Linked DNA regions of Macaca mulatta. Each later gene encodes a partner of the first gene's protein in a complex. Links are inferred from orthologs where the notes say so. Each region holds a gene or a part of one and is shown on either strand. Other genes may lie near its edges.

The links.
Region 2: EXOSC6 (region 1) and EXOSC1 share a complex: the UniProt entries of both Homo sapiens proteins name them as parts of the RNA exosome core complex. The link is inferred for Macaca mulatta from reciprocal best matches to the Homo sapiens genes EXOSC6 and EXOSC1.

What each region holds. Positions count from the first base shown.
Region 1 is NC_133425.1:69,616,403-69,625,531, forward strand, and holds EXOSC6 (exosome complex component MTR3), read left to right. Parts: upstream 1-3,952; 5' UTR 3,953-4,752; coding exon 4,753-5,571; 3' UTR 5,572-7,024; downstream 7,025-9,129. Other genes in the region: AARS1 (alanine--tRNA ligase, cytoplasmic), read left to right, coding at 1,139-1,247, 1,915-2,028, 2,621-2,740, 2,861-2,947, 3,280-3,393, 3,736-3,921; uncharacterized protein LOC114674302, read right to left, coding at 7,598-7,681. UniProt on the Homo sapiens protein: Non-catalytic component of the RNA exosome complex which has 3'->5' exoribonuclease activity and participates in a multitude of cellular RNA processing and degradation events.
Region 2 is NC_133414.1:109,493,753-109,502,583, reverse strand, and holds the start of EXOSC1 (exosome complex component CSL4), read left to right. Parts: upstream 1-4,373; 5' UTR 4,374-4,397; coding exon 4,398-4,428; intron 4,429-4,535; coding exon 4,536-4,651; intron 4,652-7,067; coding exon 7,068-7,142; intron 7,143-8,831. UniProt on the Homo sapiens protein: Non-catalytic component of the RNA exosome complex which has 3'->5' exoribonuclease activity and participates in a multitude of cellular RNA processing and degradation events.

The DNA.
Region 1 (9,129 bases):
CGCCATTTTCCTGCCTCAGCCTCCCGAGTAGCTGGGACTACAGGCGCCCGCCACCTCGCCCGGCTAGTTTTTTGTATTTTTTAGTAGAGACCGGGTTTCACCATGTTAGCCAGGATGGTCTCGATCTCCCGACCTCGTGATCCGCCCGTCTCGGCCTCCCAAAGTGCTGGGATTACAGGCTTGAGCCACCGCGCCCGGCCAAAAAGAACATTCTTAATGTCATGGATGAGACAGTCCAAGGTCCCCTGCAGGCCTCTGGCAGGCAGGGAGCAAGTGGGATGTGCAGAGTAGGGTAGGGGTCTGGGGGATTGAGTTACAGGCTTTTCTGCCCAGCTGAATTGGGCAGGAAACAGCTTTCAAAAACTTTATACAAGGGCTGGGTGCGGTGCCTCATGCCCAGCACTTAGGGAGGCTGAGGCAGGTGGATCACTTGAGGTCAGGAGTTCAAGACCAGCCTGTGCAACATGGTGAAAACCTGTCTCTACTAAAAATACAAAAATTAACTAGGAGTGGTGGCAGGTGCTTGTTTCCCAGCTACTTGGGAGGCTGAGGCAGGAGAATCACTTGAACCCGGGAGGTAGAGGTTGTGGTGAGCCACGACTGCACCATTGCACTGCAGCCTGGGCAACAGAACAGGACTCTGTCTCAAAAAAAAAAAAAAAAAAATCTTTATACCACTGTCAAAGAATGAGGATGAATTAATAAGCATTTGAGGTTCTCTGAACAACTGAAATAAAGCCTATTTGTTCAAGGGGTTGTGGTAAGATTTTAACAGCAGTCCTCAAATTGTCCCCTAATGAACAGGAATACAAAAATAGAGCGTAAGTTCCACCACAGGACCAAAACTGTCACGTAGAGCCTAATGGTAAGACTGTATTGGATATTAGGGACCACAAAGGACTTTGCTGTTTGCCTCATTTGATTTTCATAGCAGCTACGTGGGGAGCATCATCCCCATCTGAGAGCTGAGAACACTCAGGCTTGGTCAGCTGGTGTCTTGCTCGGTGTCAGAACACTCCCAAGCCCAGGCTTTCCCTGACTTTCAACCCATTCCTGCTTCTCTTGTCCGCTAGTGGGACCCCCAGCCAAGGGCTGCCAAGGACCTCTTTCACCACGACCTTTGTTTTCTGCTATTCAGGCACCTGCGGAACTCAAGTCACGCAGGAGCTTTTGTGATTGTGACGGAAGAAGCCATCGCCAAGGGTATCCGGAGGATTGTGGCTGTCACGGGTGCCGAAGCCCAGAAGGTGAGCAGGTCAGGCTGGTTTGTGGCTTATCTGAAGAGGGCAAGAGGAGCCCAGTCTGCGAATCCATAGAGCAAACAGTGCTCTGCATGGCTGCTGCAGTCAGAGTGAAAGTGGAGACTGGGCCATTCCCCCTGCCCCAGTGTCCTACCCCTGCTTGGCAGAAGAAACCTGCCACCACAGAAGATTTCCTAGCTTTCCTGTGTTTAGTCTTAAAATATATGTAAATCTGGCTATCTACCCCCTCTTATCTCCATGTGGAAGAGGGTGTAAGACATAGATTCGCTGTGGCTTCAGGGCCCCCGGCACTGATCCATGTACCCCTAGGGGCGTGCTTAGTTTGAGGCCGTGCAGTAGAGGATGGGTGCTCTGTCATGGGAACTGGTGTGTCTGACTTGTGCTAAAGCCCCAGGGTTAGCCACTTCCTGGGTGATGGGGTTCCTGATTCTCGAGCTTGATCATCCCCAAGTCAGAGTTGGGTACAGCCGTTGCCAGTGGGCCTGTGAGCACTGTGCTCCTTGCTGGGGCCTGATGCTGCCAGTACCTGCTCCCCACAGACACTTTTGGGGTGTGTTGCTGCAGGGCCTACCACTGGGGCAGCCGCTCAGACCCAGGATAGTGAGGCTGACTCAGGCCTCCTACCTGGGGTTGACCGGGTGTCCCCTCCCAGGCCCTCAGGAAAGCAGAGAGCTTGAAGAAATCTCTCTCTGTCATGGAAGCCAAAGTGAAGGCCCAGACTGCTCCAAACAAGGATGTGCAGAGGGAGATCGCTGACCTTGGAGAGGTAGGGGTGGCTTCCCTCCCTCCTCAGGGCCTGACGCATGAGACATGCCCTGGCTTCAGTAAATCTATAGTCAGTCAGTCCCTGGTTCTTGGTGGAATGGGCCTTTGGGCTGACTTCTGTTGTCCTGTAGCCTTGTAGCAGGGACCCCATCGATCCTGGCCTTGGACCCTGGAGGTTCCCTGCTGCCCCCATTGCTGCTAGCAGGAGAGCTCTTCCCAAGCATGTGTGGGCACTGGGGTGGAGGGATTTGGAGAAGGGGAAAAGGCTGCCCCCTGCTTCCAAGCCTGCCTGGCATTTATTTGCATTTTAAGCTGCCAGGAAGCTCATCACAGGCTGTTCCCAGCCTGGTAAGGACTAGGCCTGACTTGGAGCCCAGCTTTCTACTGTTCCTTTCTCTCTAGCCCTCCTTGTTTTACCTGCCGCAGCTGCTCCAGAAGGGACTGGTCTCAAAGCCAGAAGACAGCTTTGTGTTTTTGCTTTCCTTTCCAGGACACTAGTCAGGGAGGACTTGGGTTCAGGTGGGGTGGGCTTGACCCTGACATCCCAGCAAGTTGTGGCCCAGATTCAGATGGTCTTCTGGTTCTCGTTCCAGGCCCTGGCCACTGCAGTCATCCCCCAGTGGCAGAAGGACGAATTGCGGGAGACTCTCAAATCCCTAAAGAAGGTCATGGATGACCTAGACCGAGCCAGCAAAGCCGATGTCCAGAAACGAGTGAGTCCGGGCAGCACCGGTGGCCAGAGTGTTTCCTAGGCAAAGGCCGGCAGGATACAGCCAGGGGTTTGCGGCTTGTGCTTTTGGTCTGAGCTGCTCTTCTGGACTTTTTTCTTGCAGGTGTTAGAGAAGACAAAGCAGCTTATCGACAGCAACCCCAACCAGCCCCTCGTCATCCTGGAGATGGAGAGCGGTGCCTCAGCCAAGGCAACCCAGGGGCCGGGGCCCCCTCCCCTGGGGCACATCAGCCCTTTGGTGGCTGATATGTGACCTCTGTGGCTCTGAGCCAAGTGGTTGCCTAAGGGCCCACTGTCTGGGATTAAGGTTGGGAGGAGCAGCAGCTCCCTGCATGTGGGAGGCACACCTGGGCCAGGGTGTGGGCAGGGCCCTACACTGGGGTCCTCCACCCAGGCCCTGAGGACTACATCTGCTCTGGGAAGGGGTGGGGGTGGGTGGCGGTCCTTCTGAGGGCTGCAACTGCTCACACTAGTGAGGGTCCCTGCTCCAGCACCATGGTCTGAGCCAGGTCCTCCCCACAGGCCCTGAATGAAGCCTTGAAGCTCTTCAAGACACACTCCCCTCAGACGTCTGCCATGCTCTTCACAGTGGACAACGAGGCTGGCAAGATCACTTGCCTGTGTCAAGTCCCTCAGGTCAGAACCACCTTGCACCAGTGGGAAGTGTTGGGTCTTAAGCTTGTTTGCTGAGGCCTGTGTGTGTACAACCTGCATTTAAAAGAGCCTGTCTCCTGCCTGCCTGTTGGTCACCTTTGCCAGTACCTCTTACCCAGGCCTCCTCACTGGTTGCATCTGTCTGGTTGATACTTGGCTTTGCCACTCTGTCCTGTCCTGGCAGGGGCCATGACTGCCCCCTGCACTAGCCGTAAAGTCTGTCTCTGCCTCCAGCAGTATCACCCAGGGCAAAGGAGTGGGTGATGGCTCCTCCCTCAATCCCATTTTCTGTCCTGACTTCCCCCTTCCCTTTCTTTCTTCTAGAATGCAGCCAATCGGGGCTTAAAAGCCAGCGAGTGGGTACAGCAGGTGTCAGGCCTGATGGACGGTAAAGGTGGGGGCAAGGATGTGTCTGCACAGGCCACAGGCAAAAACATTGGCTGCCTGCAGGAGGCGCTGCAGCTGGCCACTTCCTTCGCCCAGCTGCGCCTCGGGGATGTAAAGAACTGAGCGGGGGAGGAGGTGGCTTCTACTGGCTCCATCCGTCCAGCCGGGAGCTCTTGATCTGCTACAAGAACATTTGAATCCTGGGACCTTTTGAGAGCCCCTCCTACCCCGGCTGTACCTGGAATACCCTCACGAGCAGTCCTGTGACTCAGCGCCCCTTATACTTCTGCCCTGAGCCCTCCACGTCAGTGCCATCTGTCGAGAACCACTACCCCCGCATTGCTGTTGATCACCACACTCGCATCTGTAGATAACAGCTTTCCAGCCTGAGCTTTCCGCGTCAGCAAGGACGAATCGTTTTTTGCTGCAGAGAATAAAAGGACCACGTGCAATACTTAATGCTATATGATCTCTATCCCTCTTCCCAGGTGGAGCTCGCTGTTTTGACAGCCCTTGGCCCCTGCTGTCTGTAGAATAAATGCTGTGGCTTATACTGGCTGCTGTAGTGTTCACCTAGTCCAGCCCCAGAACCCTAAATTTTGGGAAAAGCCCCTGGGGTTGCCTCAAACGTTTGTGGAGGTTGAGGCCAAATAGGGTGACATGGAGCAAGGCGTTCATAATTCAGTAGATGGGTGGGGTTAGTGGAAGCAGAGAAGCCTTGGAGCTGCTCTCCCGCTCCCTTCCAGCAGGAGGGATGGATCAGGCAGCCCTGCACAAGTGGGACCAGGGCGCCAGGGACGCCGGCCGTTCTCCCTCCGAGCCTCCAGCAGGCGCTGTAGCGCCGCCCGTCACTCTCCCGACAACCCTCACGCAGGCGCGCGTCTTTAAGCAACGGAAGAACCAGTGGGTGCGGCAGTGCGTTGGGCGGAAGCGGCTCTCACGCCAGGAGCCGCCATGCCCGGGGACCACCGCCGCATCCGCGGCCCTGAAGAGTCGCAGCCGCCGCAGCTGTACGCGGCCGACGAGGAGGAGGCGCCCGCCGCCCGCGACCCAACGCGACTGCGGCCCGTGTATGCGCGCGCCGGGCTGCTGAGCCAGGCCAAAGGCTCGGCCTACCTGGAGGCGGGAGGCACAAAGGTGCTGTGTGCAGTGTCGGGCCCGCGACAGGCCGAGGGAGGCGAGCGCGGCGGCGGCCCGGCCGGATCTGGCGGCGAAGCCCCGGCCGCGCTGCGCGGTCGCCTGCTGTGCGACTTCCGCCGCGCGCCCTTCGCGGGCCGCCGGCGCCGCGCTCCCCCGGGCGGCGGCGAGGAGCGTGAGCTGGCGCTGGCGCTGCAGGAGGCACTGGAGCCGGCCGTGCGCCTGGGCCGCTACCCGCGCGCGCAACTCGAGGTGTCGGCGTTGCTGCTGGAGGACGGCGGCTCGGCCCTGGCCGCCGCGCTCACCGCCGCCGCGCTCGCCCTGGCCGACGCGGGCGTTGAGATGTACGATCTGGTGGTGGGCTGTGGCCTGAGCCTCGCGCCGGGGCCCGCGCCCACTTGGCTGCTGGACCCCACGCGGCTAGAGGAAGAGCGCGCCGCCGCCGGCCTCACCGTGGCGCTCATGCCTGTGCTGAATCAGGTGGCCGGGCTGCTGGGCAGCGGCGAGGGCGGCCTGATCGAGAGCTGGGCGGAGGCCGTACGCCTGGGCCTCGAGGGCTGCCAGCGCCTCTACCCCGTGCTGCAGCAGAGCCTGGTGCGGGCGGCGCGCCGCAGGGGCGCCGCCGCCCAGCCCTGAACTAGAAGCCTGAGCAACGACGGACGCAAGCCGAGGACCGTGCTGCCGCCGTCCCCGAAAAGACCCGCGCCGTCGGCCTCCAGCCTGCGTCGAGATAAGCAGCCGGAGCCCTGGAGAGCACCTGGGTAGGCCCTAGCAGAGCCAAGGCGCCGGACAGCTGTGGTGTTGGAAAGGGTTTTTACAAACCTCGTTAAAGGAACTTTACTTGAGCCGGCTCTTAGCTTCGACCCAGTTGAGGAAACCTGTGAGCGCATCCTGACTCCCAAGTTGGAAACTTTAGCTGGACTTACCTGGAAGCTGGTACCTAGAGCTGCTGTCATTCAGGCCAGCCAGTGACCCCCTCCGATATAACTGGGCGACTTTTCAGAGGATGGACAAGACGACTGTGCCTTCTGTGTCTGAGCCAAAAGAAAGACCCTTTTATATTTGAAAAACGTCTTATGGTGTGGTTCTTCTTGGTCCGGGATTTAAGAGAGCAAGGCTCTTTTGTTCTTGCATCCCAGGTGTCAAGGGTCGCGGCGGCATTGCCTTAAACGGGTTCTGTTCCTTAGGCCCACGTGAACAGGAGAGACGGGCTGAAAAGAGCTCCAGAGCCTGATGGGAGCGCTGTGATTTGGAGAGCAGCTGCACCCACACGAACCAGAGTTAGGGGAACTGCTGAGATACGACGAGAGTAGGGAGAGTTGGCCGGGCGCGGCGGCTCACACCTGTAATCCCAGCACTTTGGGAGGCCAAGGCAGGGAGATCACCTGAGGTCGGAAGTTCGAGATCAGCCTGACCAACATGGAGAAACCCCGTCTCTACTAAAAATACAAAATTAGCCAGCACTAATAATGGTGGCATATGCCTGTAATCTTAGCTACTCGGGAGGCTGAGGCAGGAGAATCGCTTGAACCCGGGAGGTGGAGGTTGCGGTGAGTGGAGATCGCACCATTGCACTCCAGCCTGGGCAACAAGAGCAAGACTCCGTCTCAGGAAAAAAAGTACGGCCCCAGAAGTGCGCTGAGTGCACCTCGTGCCCCAACCTGGCTTGGTGCTGGGTAGCTGAAAAGGGTTTTGCTCTGGGTAGAAGCCATCTGTCCTTGGCCATGTGCAGAATGGCACAACCCGAGCCTCCACGGCTGATGAGAAGTGGCACCCTGGTCCTACAAGGAAGACCCTGAGCAGCACCGCAGAGGGCAGGTGCACTGCTAGGAAGGCCAGGTACAACCTGACTGACTCACCACGAGGTGGGGTCTTTCCTGTGTCGCTACCAGCTCTGCTGGTTTGGGCTCAAGACTGCATGGTAGGAAGCTAGGTGACTGCCATTTGGAAGGCGGCCTGGTCCCCTCTCTGCACTCAGCTTCTCTAGGAAGGGCCGGCCTGGGTCAGCCCAAGGACCAGAATGAGTTTCTGGGGCCACACCCAGAACCCCTGACCAGGAAAAATACAAATTTTATTTTTTCCCTTCTGACATAACGTGTCTTTCTAGAGCAGGTCTGAAATAGTATCACACCAGTGGGGAGAGGACATAATGTAATTCTGAAGTGTGACTTCCTAGAGTAGATGGAGCCCAAAGAGGGCTGTGTGGGGTACACACTGAGAACATTCCAGCAGTTTCAGGGAGATTGGAAACTCAGGGAGAGCTGTTGGCTATCTGTTGACTGGCGGTACATCGGGAGGGGAGTGAAGATCAGCTGTGTCTGCATTCAGACAAGGCTGAGGGTGCCCTCTGAGGGGTGGGGTGGGGGTGGGGGTGGGGGTGGGGGTGGGGGTGGGGTGGGGATGGGCTGTCATCTGCCCCTTGCAAGAGAGCCTCAGCTTCATGAGGATGGCGACCTGGTGCAGTCCCAGGCCACCTCCTAACCGTGTCAGTCCCAGGACCATCATCTCGAAATGCAACCTCTAAAGAAGCTAAACCCACCACTACAGGTTGGCCCTCTGCTTGTCTGGCAAGCCCTGTGTCCACTTCCATTGCCCCAGCTCCAGATCAGGCATCTCAGGTTGCTAAGGTGGCTTTCAAAACCTACGCAAGGCAAGGAGCTGTCTATCCGAGAATGCCAGGAGCTGATGAGGCTGGAGGGGTTCCTGCTGCCTCCTGGCTGGCCTGGTCTTCAGCGTGGTTCTTCACCTGTAGGGAAAACAAAAGCAGGATAGTGGCAGAGGGGCCGGAGGCATGGGAGGCTAGGAAAGGGGGGCCACCTACTCAACATCTAGTCTCCCCCACACCCCGATTTCCATTTCCTCCCCAGAGCTTTAGCAGCTCAGGGCTTCTCTATATTCTACCTAAGACCTAGAAACTCAGAACCACCAGGCTAAAGAAAGCAGTCGTCTACATGTAGCCATTCTTTTCCCAGATATTACAGGTGTGACTCAGGATCTGGGCAGCAGTGAAAGCCCTCCTGAGCCCAGCAGACCGAACACAGAGCTGGGTGGGTAGATGGGGGAGGGCTCCAGCCCCATTGTGGGCCGGGCATGGCCTGCCTCAGACCAGCAAAAGGTGGTGGTTTTGGATGGGCAGGGAATATTCAGGTACTCTAATGCCACACACAAGGCTGTTACCAGTTCCAGGAAGGTTAGTGTGCCACAGCTTCCCCAGGGGGCATGGTCCATGCGGCAGCCAGAAACCCTGCAGCAGCAGGAAGAGCGCAGGAAGGTGGTTTTTTTTTTTTTTTTTTTTTTTTTTCTGAGATGGAGTTTTGCTCTTGTTGCCCAGGCTGGAGTGCAATGGTGCGATCTCAGCTCAGCAACCTCCGCCTCCCGGGTTCAAGCAATTCTCTCAGCCTCCAGAGTAGCTGGGATTACAGGCACGCGCCACCACACCAGGCTAATATATTATTTTTTGAGATGCAGTCTCTGTCACCCAGGCTAGAGCGCAGTGGCACGATCTCGGCTCACTGCAACCTCTGCCTCATGGGTTCAAGTGATTCTCCTGCCTTAGCCTCCCAAGTGGCTGGGATTACAGGCGCTCACCACCGTGCCCAGCTAATTTTTGTATTTTTAGTAGAGACGGAGTTTCACCATCTTGGCCAGGCTGGTCTCAAACTCCTGACCTCGCAATCCACGTGCCTCAGCCTCCCAAAGTGGTGGGATTAATGGTGTGAGCCACCACGCCCAGCCAATTTTTTGTATTTTAAGTAGAGACAGGGTTTCTCCATGTTGGTCAGGCTGGTCTCAAACTCCCAACCTCAGGTGATCCACCTGCCTTGGCCTCCCAAAGTGCTGGGATTACAGGCGTGAGCCCCTGCACCTGGCTGAAACCCGGCTGAAACCCAAGACAAGCTTTCCAGCTGGGTCTCAGACAGGGGTCTGGGGCCATGGGGCACACCTGTGACATTCCCTTTACGGTGCTCCAGCCGTGTCCCCCCACTGCCTTCTGGGAGAAGGTATTTCAGCCTAGAACTGACCCTGGCACAGCTGAGCCCTCCAAGCCCAGGGTTGGGAGGCAGAAAACAGGACAGGGGCCCAGCCTACTGGGCATGACTCTGTGACAGAGGGGACACACCTCCCCCTCCGCACTACCTCGGGCTCCTGTACTTACCAGAGAGGCCCTCCCCCTTGCTCACAGGGAGGCCACAA
Region 2 (8,831 bases), on another chromosome or scaffold:
TTGCACCCTGGCTCATCCCCACAAAAGACCTTTCAAAGAAAACACTTAATTACCTCCTTGCACAAGCCCTGTAAGCTCTAAGGCGAAAACGAACTCAGCAGACAAGGTCTACAGAGGAGAAAGCACAATTCGGTAGGGACCTACACAGCACCAGGATAAATAAACCGTCTGTTCCTGTCACCTCCTAGGAAGCTAAAAGAATTAAAGGGAGTGTAGAAAAGATAAAAAAAGGCCAGGCATGGTGGCTCACGCCTGTACTCCCAACACTTTGGGAGGCTGAGGCAGGTGGATCACTTGAGGTCAGGAGTTAGAGACCAGCCTGGCCAACATGGTGAAACTTTGTCTCTACTGAAAATACAAAAAAATAGCTGGGCACGGTGGCACATGCCTGTAATCCTGGCTACTTGGGAGCCTGAGGCAGGAGAATGGCGTAAACCCGGGAGGTGGAGGTTGCAGTGAGCCGAGATCACACCAGTGCACTCCAGCCTGGGAGACAAGAGTAAGACTCCGTCTCAAAAAAAATTTTTTTAAAAAAAGCTCAAGCTCAAACTTCCACCCCTATTGTTTGGAGGCATGATTTGGCTTGTAGCATGAATTTTTAAAGTGGTAGATACCCACAATCAAATGTAAGAGTGGGACAAAACAGATTACCCCACAACAAATCTAGGTGGCTGTGGGACTGTCCACATCGCTGTTCATTCCCTTTCTATAGCTAATGGAGAGTTTCCTATTTGCCAAAATACTTTTTGTAGTATTAGCATGCAAATCCAATGCATTCCTCATTTGTAATAAACTCGAATTATATGCTACTTCACACCTCTTCTAGTCTTAAAAAAAAAAACTTCTGTTCTCCACTTTTCAGATCATTCTCAACCACGTCCTAAATTCCTGAGCGCTACAGGAAATGCCTGCCTCAAGGACTAGATTTACCCAATTCCTTAGGGTTCAATTCTGTCCCTAAGCAGTTCTGTAGCCTCGGACAAATCATTCAACCCTGCTGGGACTCAATCTCCTTGTGTTCACATTCAGTGAGGGAGTGGGATTAAATGCTGAAGTCCCTTCCAGCTCTCACCCTTATTGATTCTGTAACTATACGGATACAGTCAACGCCCGTATCTGCGGAGGGATTGGTTCCAGTCCTCCCTTCAGATACCAAAATCTATGGATGCTCAAATCTGTTATAAAATGGCATAGGCCGGGCGCGGTGGCTCAAGCCTGTAATCCCAGCACTTTGGGAGGCCGAGACGGGCGGATCACGAGCTCAGGAGATCGAGACCATCCTGGCTAACACGGTGAAACCCCGTCTCTACTACAAAATACAAAAAAACTAGCCGGGCGAGGTGGCAGGCGCCTGTAGTCCCAGCTACTTGGGAGGCTGAGGCAGGAGAATGGCGTAAACCCGGGAGGCGGAGCTTGCAGTGAGCTGAGATCTGGCCACTGCACTGCAGCCTGGGCGACAGAGAGAGACTCCGTCTCAAAAATAAATAAATAAATAAAATAAAATGGCATAGTATTTGCATATAACCTATACATATCCTCCCATATACTTTAAATCATTTCTAGATTACTCATAATACCTAATACAAAGTAAATGCTACACATAAACACTTTTTTTGTTTGTTTTTGAGATGAAGTCTTGCTCTGTTGCCCAGGCTGAAGTACAGTGGCAAGATCTCGGCTCACTGCAACCTCTGTCTCCTGGGTTCAAGCAATTCTCCCTGCCTCTGCCTCCCAAGTAGCTGGGATTACAGGCACCCGTCACCTCCCCCAGCAAATGTTTGTATTTTTAATAGAGACAGGGTTTCACAATGTTGGCAAGGCTGGTCTTAAACTCCTGACCTCAGGTGATCTGCCTGCCTTGGCCTCCCAAAGTGCTGGGATTATAGGCGTAAGCCACCACCCCCGGCTGCCCCCAAGTATTTCCAATCCATGGTTGGTTGAATCTGCGATGTGAAGCTCACAGGTATGAAGGGCAAACTGTATTTGGTAAGTGTAAATGAAATGTTTATAAAGCACTTAGCACAATACTTGGCTCATGGAAGTACTCAAATATTTGTTGAACGAATGACCTGGAGGGATGCAGAAGTGGAAAGCCTGGCCAGATGTCTATCTGTCCTACAAATACCAACAAGGACACTCTTGCCAATGTGATAACTCTAAATAAGTGTCTCCTGCTATCATTCTGTCTGATTAATAAAGAGAGAAATACAAACTGTTATTAAAATCATGGCACTTAGGAGCTAGAAGTCATTTTTGAAAACAAGCCCAACCAGAAATCAGCCCAACCGTGTAAATAGAAAGCTCCTAGATGCACAGATACAGATTTGGGTGAACAAAGTCTGAAGCTAGGGCCTCTCTCCATTAGCTAATGGGGTACAGGGTGCCAGGAAATTGATATATGTAGTAAGTGGGCTGCAACTGAACATACAAACTTTTTTTTTTTTTTTTTTTTGAGACTGAGTTTTGCTCTTGTTGCCCAGGCTGGAGTGCAATGGCACAATCTGGGCTCACCACAACCTCCGCCTCCTGGGTTCAAGCAATTCTCCTGCCTCAGCCTCCTGAGTAGCTGGGATTACAGGCATGCGCCCCCACGCCCGGCTAATTTTGTATTTTTTTAGTACAGACGGGGTTTCTCCATGTAAGTCAGGCTGGTCTCGAACTCCCAACCTCAGGTGATGCGCCTGCCTCAGCCTCCCAAAGTGCTGGGATTACAGGCGGGCCACCGCACCTGGCCCAGACTTTTCATCTCAGGAAATAGAGGTAAAGCAAAATTCAAAAATATGTGTGTAGGGAAGAAGGGGGTAATCTCAGTGAACAGGGGAGGAAACAGAGCAAAGCGCAGCTTTACTACCACCCCAAGCACAAGCCCGAGTACTCTCATCCCTCAGTAACAGTCACAGGCCATAGTGGTCGTCTGCCACCAGACAGGAGGAGATTGCAGGCCACAGCACTTCCCTCTTCCCATGGCTCTAAGTCACCATCTGTTTCCCAAGGGGAAAGTCGACTGAGGGGACAGGGAGGGACAGGCGGCAAAGCCATCAGAAGTCAGGTGAACTGAGATCAAAGTCGTGGGCAATGTCATCTGGACAAGGACGCTGCTCTCGGGATGTTTGCAATCTCAAGTAGGAGATACCAGACATCAATAAAGAGTAGCATTTTATTCACGTGCAGACCTCCCTTCTGGGGTAACACGCTGAGAAGAAAAAGTAGCAACTTTATTTTGGGGCTGCTTATCTTTTGATGACGGGCCCACACAACCAGAGTTCGGCTTTTTCAACCTGAGAAAGCTTACTTAAGTGGGGATGGGAGGCCGCGAAGAGGATCGGACCGCAGGACTGGAAGCTACAGTTAAAAAACCGGGAAAAGGCCGGGCGCGGTGGCTCACTTTGGGAGGAATCACCTGTAATTCCTGCACTTTGGGAGGCTGAGGCGGGCGGCTCAAGAGATCGAGACCATCCTGGCCAACATAGTGAAACCCCGTCTCTACTGAAAATACAAAAATTAGCTGGGCGTGATGGCGCGCGCCTGTAGTCCCAGCTGCGCGGGAGGCTGAGGCAGGAGAATCGCTTGATGCCAGGAGGCGGAGGTTGCAGTGCGCAGAGATCGCGCCACTGCACTCCAGCCTGGCCAAAGAGCGAGACTCCTTTTCAAAAACAAAACAAAACAAAAACCGGGAAAAGGTTTTATTTCTCAATGACAGCCGCGAGGTGAAACTGCGATGGACTGGAAGTCAAAAATCGCGGGTTCCAGTTTGGGCTCTATCTTGAAGATTTTGGACAAGTCAAACCCGGTCTCTGAATCTGAGGTTCCACATCTGTGAAACAGACGAGTTGGGTCGCTTGACCTCCTTCCTTCCTGCTCTGAACGTAACGGTTGCTCGCAAGGTGCGCTCCGGCTGAGGAGGGCGCAGCCCCGCAGGGCAGGGCGAGGAGAGAGCAGGAACCTGGACTCAAGACAAGGCCCCAGGGCATTGCCCGACCCAGAAAAAGGGACTAGGATGGGGAGCAAGGGCCGAGGCTTCGCCCTTACCTGCCGCCTGCCGACTCCCCAGTCAGCCAAACCGAGCCCCGCAGCCTCTGCCGCCGCTCACTGCCACCCTCTCCGACTCGGCGCCCCGGCCGGGCCCGGCTCAATCCAAACCACCATGGCCCGCCGCCTGCAGTGCCACCCAGCGGACCCGGACCTGCCGCCAGCCCATCCTCAACCACACGCGCAGGCGCAAGCATGGAGCGCTGAAGTTCCGCCCCCGGATTTGTCCCGGGGTAACCTGGGAAATGGAGTTTACACGCAAGGATAAAGAACACCAATTGACGCGTATCTTACTGCGGAACTGTGCCTGGGTTTGGCCAATGAGAAATCGATTTCGTTTTCATCCGGCTTTTGGGACAGCGGCAATCATGGCACCACCTGTGAGATACTGTATTCCCGGTAAGTGAGCGCTTCCCGTACAGAGTCCTGGATAGGGGCCGAAGCAAGAAGCCTGGACGGCCTGCAGTTTCTGGGGGCCCATGACCGATGCAGCATTTTTTCTGCAGGCGAACGTCTGTGTAACTTGGAGGAGGGCAGCCCGGGCAGCGGCACCTACACCCGCCACGGCTACATCTTTTCGTCGCTTGCCGGCTGCCTGATGAAGAGCAGCGAGAACGGCGCGGTAAAGGAAGCGGCATGCCGTCTCCTCTCTCTCTGTTTTTCCCTTAGGCTGCCCTTGAGTTCCAGTCCTTAGGCATGGGCACTGCGGACGCGTGTTTAGAGCCTTAGTGGTACAATGTTGGTCTCTTAGTTTCTTCTAGCCGTATCGCCGCTGTTGTGCACTTAGCCACCACACACTAGTTGTGTTGATCTCGCTTGGTTGTGCTGCTGACCCTCGGGGAGGGAGGTTGGGACAAAAGCAGATGCGAACTCAGTAACCTAGCCCAGCTCAGCCCAGCAGTGCGTTGTATACTGTATGAATGTTGCTTACCTCTCCGGCTTACCTCTAGTGCCACTATCTCCACCTCACTGACGCGATCTAATCATACAGTCTTTTCTATTTGTAAAAGTTATAATCACAGTTTTGGCTTGCCCTTTTAAAAAAATTTGTAACACACTAGCTTCTTTCAGTGTCGGTAATGTGCCAAGCTTTCTCCTGCTACAGAGCCTTTGTAACATGCCATCTATCTGGAACGCTTCTGTCTTCTTAGGCCTGTTTAATTCCTACCTCCGTTAGTTTCTGTATTATCACCTCAGAGAAGCCCTTCTGGACCCACTAATTGAGGAAAGGAGTTTTGTGGGATGTTTTGTTTTTGTTTGTTTTGTTAAAGACTTACAAAAAAACTCTGTCCCTTTTCTTCCAAGCACTTATGTCAGCATATGATTAGACACTCAGGTATGTTTCCCACTAGACTTCTCCCTTGCTTAAATCTAAGTTCCACGAAGTGCAGGTGCTACCACCATACCATCAGTATCTAGCACAAAGCAGCTCCTCAATAAATGTTTGTTGAATGCGTAATACCTACTTTTCTAGTTTTAGAGATTGATCCAGGATTAGCTCAGGATCATATAAGCAATATTTGAAGGAGCACAGTAGAAAGAGGATTCAGAATTAGAACCGTTAGGTTCTGGCTAACTTGACCTCGATTCTGCTTTGAGTAAGTAACTTAAGCCGTCTGACTCAAGGGGCTTTCTATTCAGTCATTGTTGGGAATGTCCTTAACAGTCCTGAGTTTGTTCATTTGATAGATACCACTTGAGTATTTTCATGTGTCAGGCACAGCGCTGACTTGGTTTCTGCTATCAAAGGACACAGACACAAATTGTAAACAAATAAATGCTCAAATAAGCATATGGTTACACATGTGGTGGCTGCTTTGAAAGAATATTACAGGGCACCTTAAGAACATGTAACAGGCAAATCCATCCTAGTCAGCAGAAGTGACATTGAAGCTGAATCATCTAAAGAGTAGGTTAGAGTCAGGTGGGTGGAGAGAGTGCAATTCTGGCAAAAAGAATAGGTTGAAGAGAGATCTGAAAGTGGGAAGAATTTAGTAAGTTGGGGAAACTGAAAGAAGGCCAGGAGAGCTGAAGCATTGTAAGCAACGGAGAGATTGTTAAAAGATGAGGCTCAAAATATCTGTCTCATACCAACAGCCAATACCATGCTCAAAGAGAAAACTCTGCAAGTATTCACTTAAAACAAGCGTAGCTACTATTTGTAACATTTCTGTGGAAATTTCAGCCTGTGCAGTAAAATAAGAAACAGAAAGAAGCAGTATAACTTTGGAGGAAAGAGTAAAATTGTCAGCCAGATGTAGTGGCTCACGCCTGTAATCCCAGCACTTTGGGAAGCCAAGGTGGGTTGATCACCTGAGGTCAGGTGTTCGAGACCAGTCTGACCAACATGGTGAAACCCCATCTCTACTAAAAATACAAAAAATTACCCGAGCATGGTGGCAGGCGTCTGTAATCCCAACTACTCGGGAGGCTGAGGCAGGAGAATCACTTGAACCCAGGAGGTGGAGGTTGCAGTGAACCGAGATGGCGCCATTGCACTCCACTCTGGGCAACAAGAGTGAAACTCCATCTCAAAAAAAAACCAAAAAAAGTAAAATTGTCAATGATTATAGGCAATATAGTTGTATACCAAGAAATTCTGAGAGAATCACCAGAAAACTTATTGGAAGTTTAGGGATTTACTACAAAAAAAATTAGCCGGGCGTGGTGGCAGGTGCCTGTAGTCTCAGCTACTTGGGAGGCTGAGGCTGGAGAATGGCATGAACCCGGGAGGTGGAGCTTGCAGTGAGCCGAGAATATGCCACTGCACTCCAGCCTGGGCAACAGAGCAAGACTCCATCTCCAACGACAACAAAAAAAAAGAAGTTTAGAGGTTTACATCTTCTAGCAGCATTCTGTAGCCCCCTGGTCCTCCTATTTCCTAAAATTTCTAAGGCCTTCTGCTCTGGCCTATAAATGAATGCATACTCCAGCTCTCACCTGTGTACCAAGACATTCCTATATTACTCTCAAGACACAAATGCTTTGACCCAAGAGTTAGCCAGGACATTTCAGTTTTTTTCTTTTTCCCTCTGTAGCTTCCTGTGGTGTCTGTAGTAAGAGAAACAGAGTCCCAGTTACTGCCAGATGTCGGAGCTATTGTAACCTGTAAGGTAAGTTTGTCCTAACTTCCATGCTTAGAACGCCCATTCAGTGCTGAAATCATGACCATGCCAGAACTGCAGTGTCCAGTATGATAGCCACAAGCTACATAAATGTATTTCTGGCGGGGCACAATGGCTCACACTGGTAATTCTTACACTTTAAGAGGCCAAGGCAGGCTGGGCGCAGTGGCTCACGCCTATAATCCCAGCGCTTTGGGAGGCCAAGGGGGACTGATCACAAGGTCAGGAGATTGAGACCATCCTGGCTAACACGGTGAAACCCCGTCTCTACTAAAAATACAAAAAAAATGAGCAGGGCATGGTGGCGGGCACCTGTAGTCCCAGCTATGTGGGAGGCTGAGGCAGGAGAATGGCGTGAACCCGGGAGGCGGAGCTTGCAGTGAGCTGAGATCACGCCACTGCACTCTAGCCTGGGCAACAGAGCGAAATTCTGTCTCAAAGGAAAAAAAAAGGCCGGGCGCAGTGGCTCAAGCCTGTAATCCTAGCACTTTGGGAGGCCGAGACGGGCGGATCACGAGGTCAGGAGATCGAGACCATCCTGGCTAACACGGTGAAACCCCGTCTCTACTAAAAATACAAGAAAATTAGCCGGGCGAGGTGGCAGGCGCCTGTAGTCCCAGCTACTCGGGAGGCTGAGGCAGGAGAATGGCGTGAACCCGGTGGGGCGGAGCTTGCAGTGAGCCGAGATCGTGCCACTGCACTCCAGCCTGGGGCACAGAGCAAGACTCCGTCTCAAAAAAAAAAAAAAAAAAAGGAAAAAAAAAAAAAAGAGGCCGAGGCAGGAGGATTGCTTCAACCCAGAGTTCAAGACCAGCCTGGGAAACATAGTGAAACCTCATCTCTACAAAAAGAATCAAAAATTGCTGGGCACTGTGGCTCACGCCTGTAATCCCAGCACTTTGGGAGGCCAAGGTGGGCAGATCACCTGAGGTCAGGAGTTCGAGACCAGCCTGGCCAATCATGGCTAACATGATGAAACCCCATCTCTACTAAAAATACAAAAATTAGCTCAATGTGGTGGCACATGCCTATAATCCCAGCTACTCGGGAGTCTGAGGCAGGAGATTTGCTTGAACCCGGGAGGCCGAGGTTTCAATGAGTCCGCGTCACGGCACTCCAGCCTGGACAACAGAGTGAGACTCTGAAAATTAAATAAATAAATAAATAAATAAATAAATAAATAAATAAAAATAAAAAATTAGCCAGGCATGGTAGCACATGCCTGTGGTCCCAACTACTTGGTAGGCTGAGGCAGGAGGATCGCTTGAACCCAGGGGGTTGAGGCTGCAGTGAGCCATGATCACTGCAGCCTGGGTAACGACAAGACTTGTCTCTCAAAAATAAGGGCTGGGCGCGGTGGCTCACGCCTGTAATCCCAGCACTTTGGGAGGCCGAGACGGGCGGATCATGAGGTCAGGAGATCGAGACTATCCTGGCTAACACGGTGAAACCCCGTCTCTACTAAAAAAATACAAAAAAATTAGCCGGGCGAAGTGGCGGCGCCTGTAGTCCCAGCTACTCAGGAGGCTGAGGCAGGAGAATGGCGGGAACCTGGGAGGCGGAGCTTGCAGTGAGCTGAGATCCGGCTACTGCACTCCAGCCTGGGCGACAGAGCGAGACTCCTTCTCAAAAAAAAAAAAATAATAAAATAAAATAAAATAAAATTGGTTTCCTTAG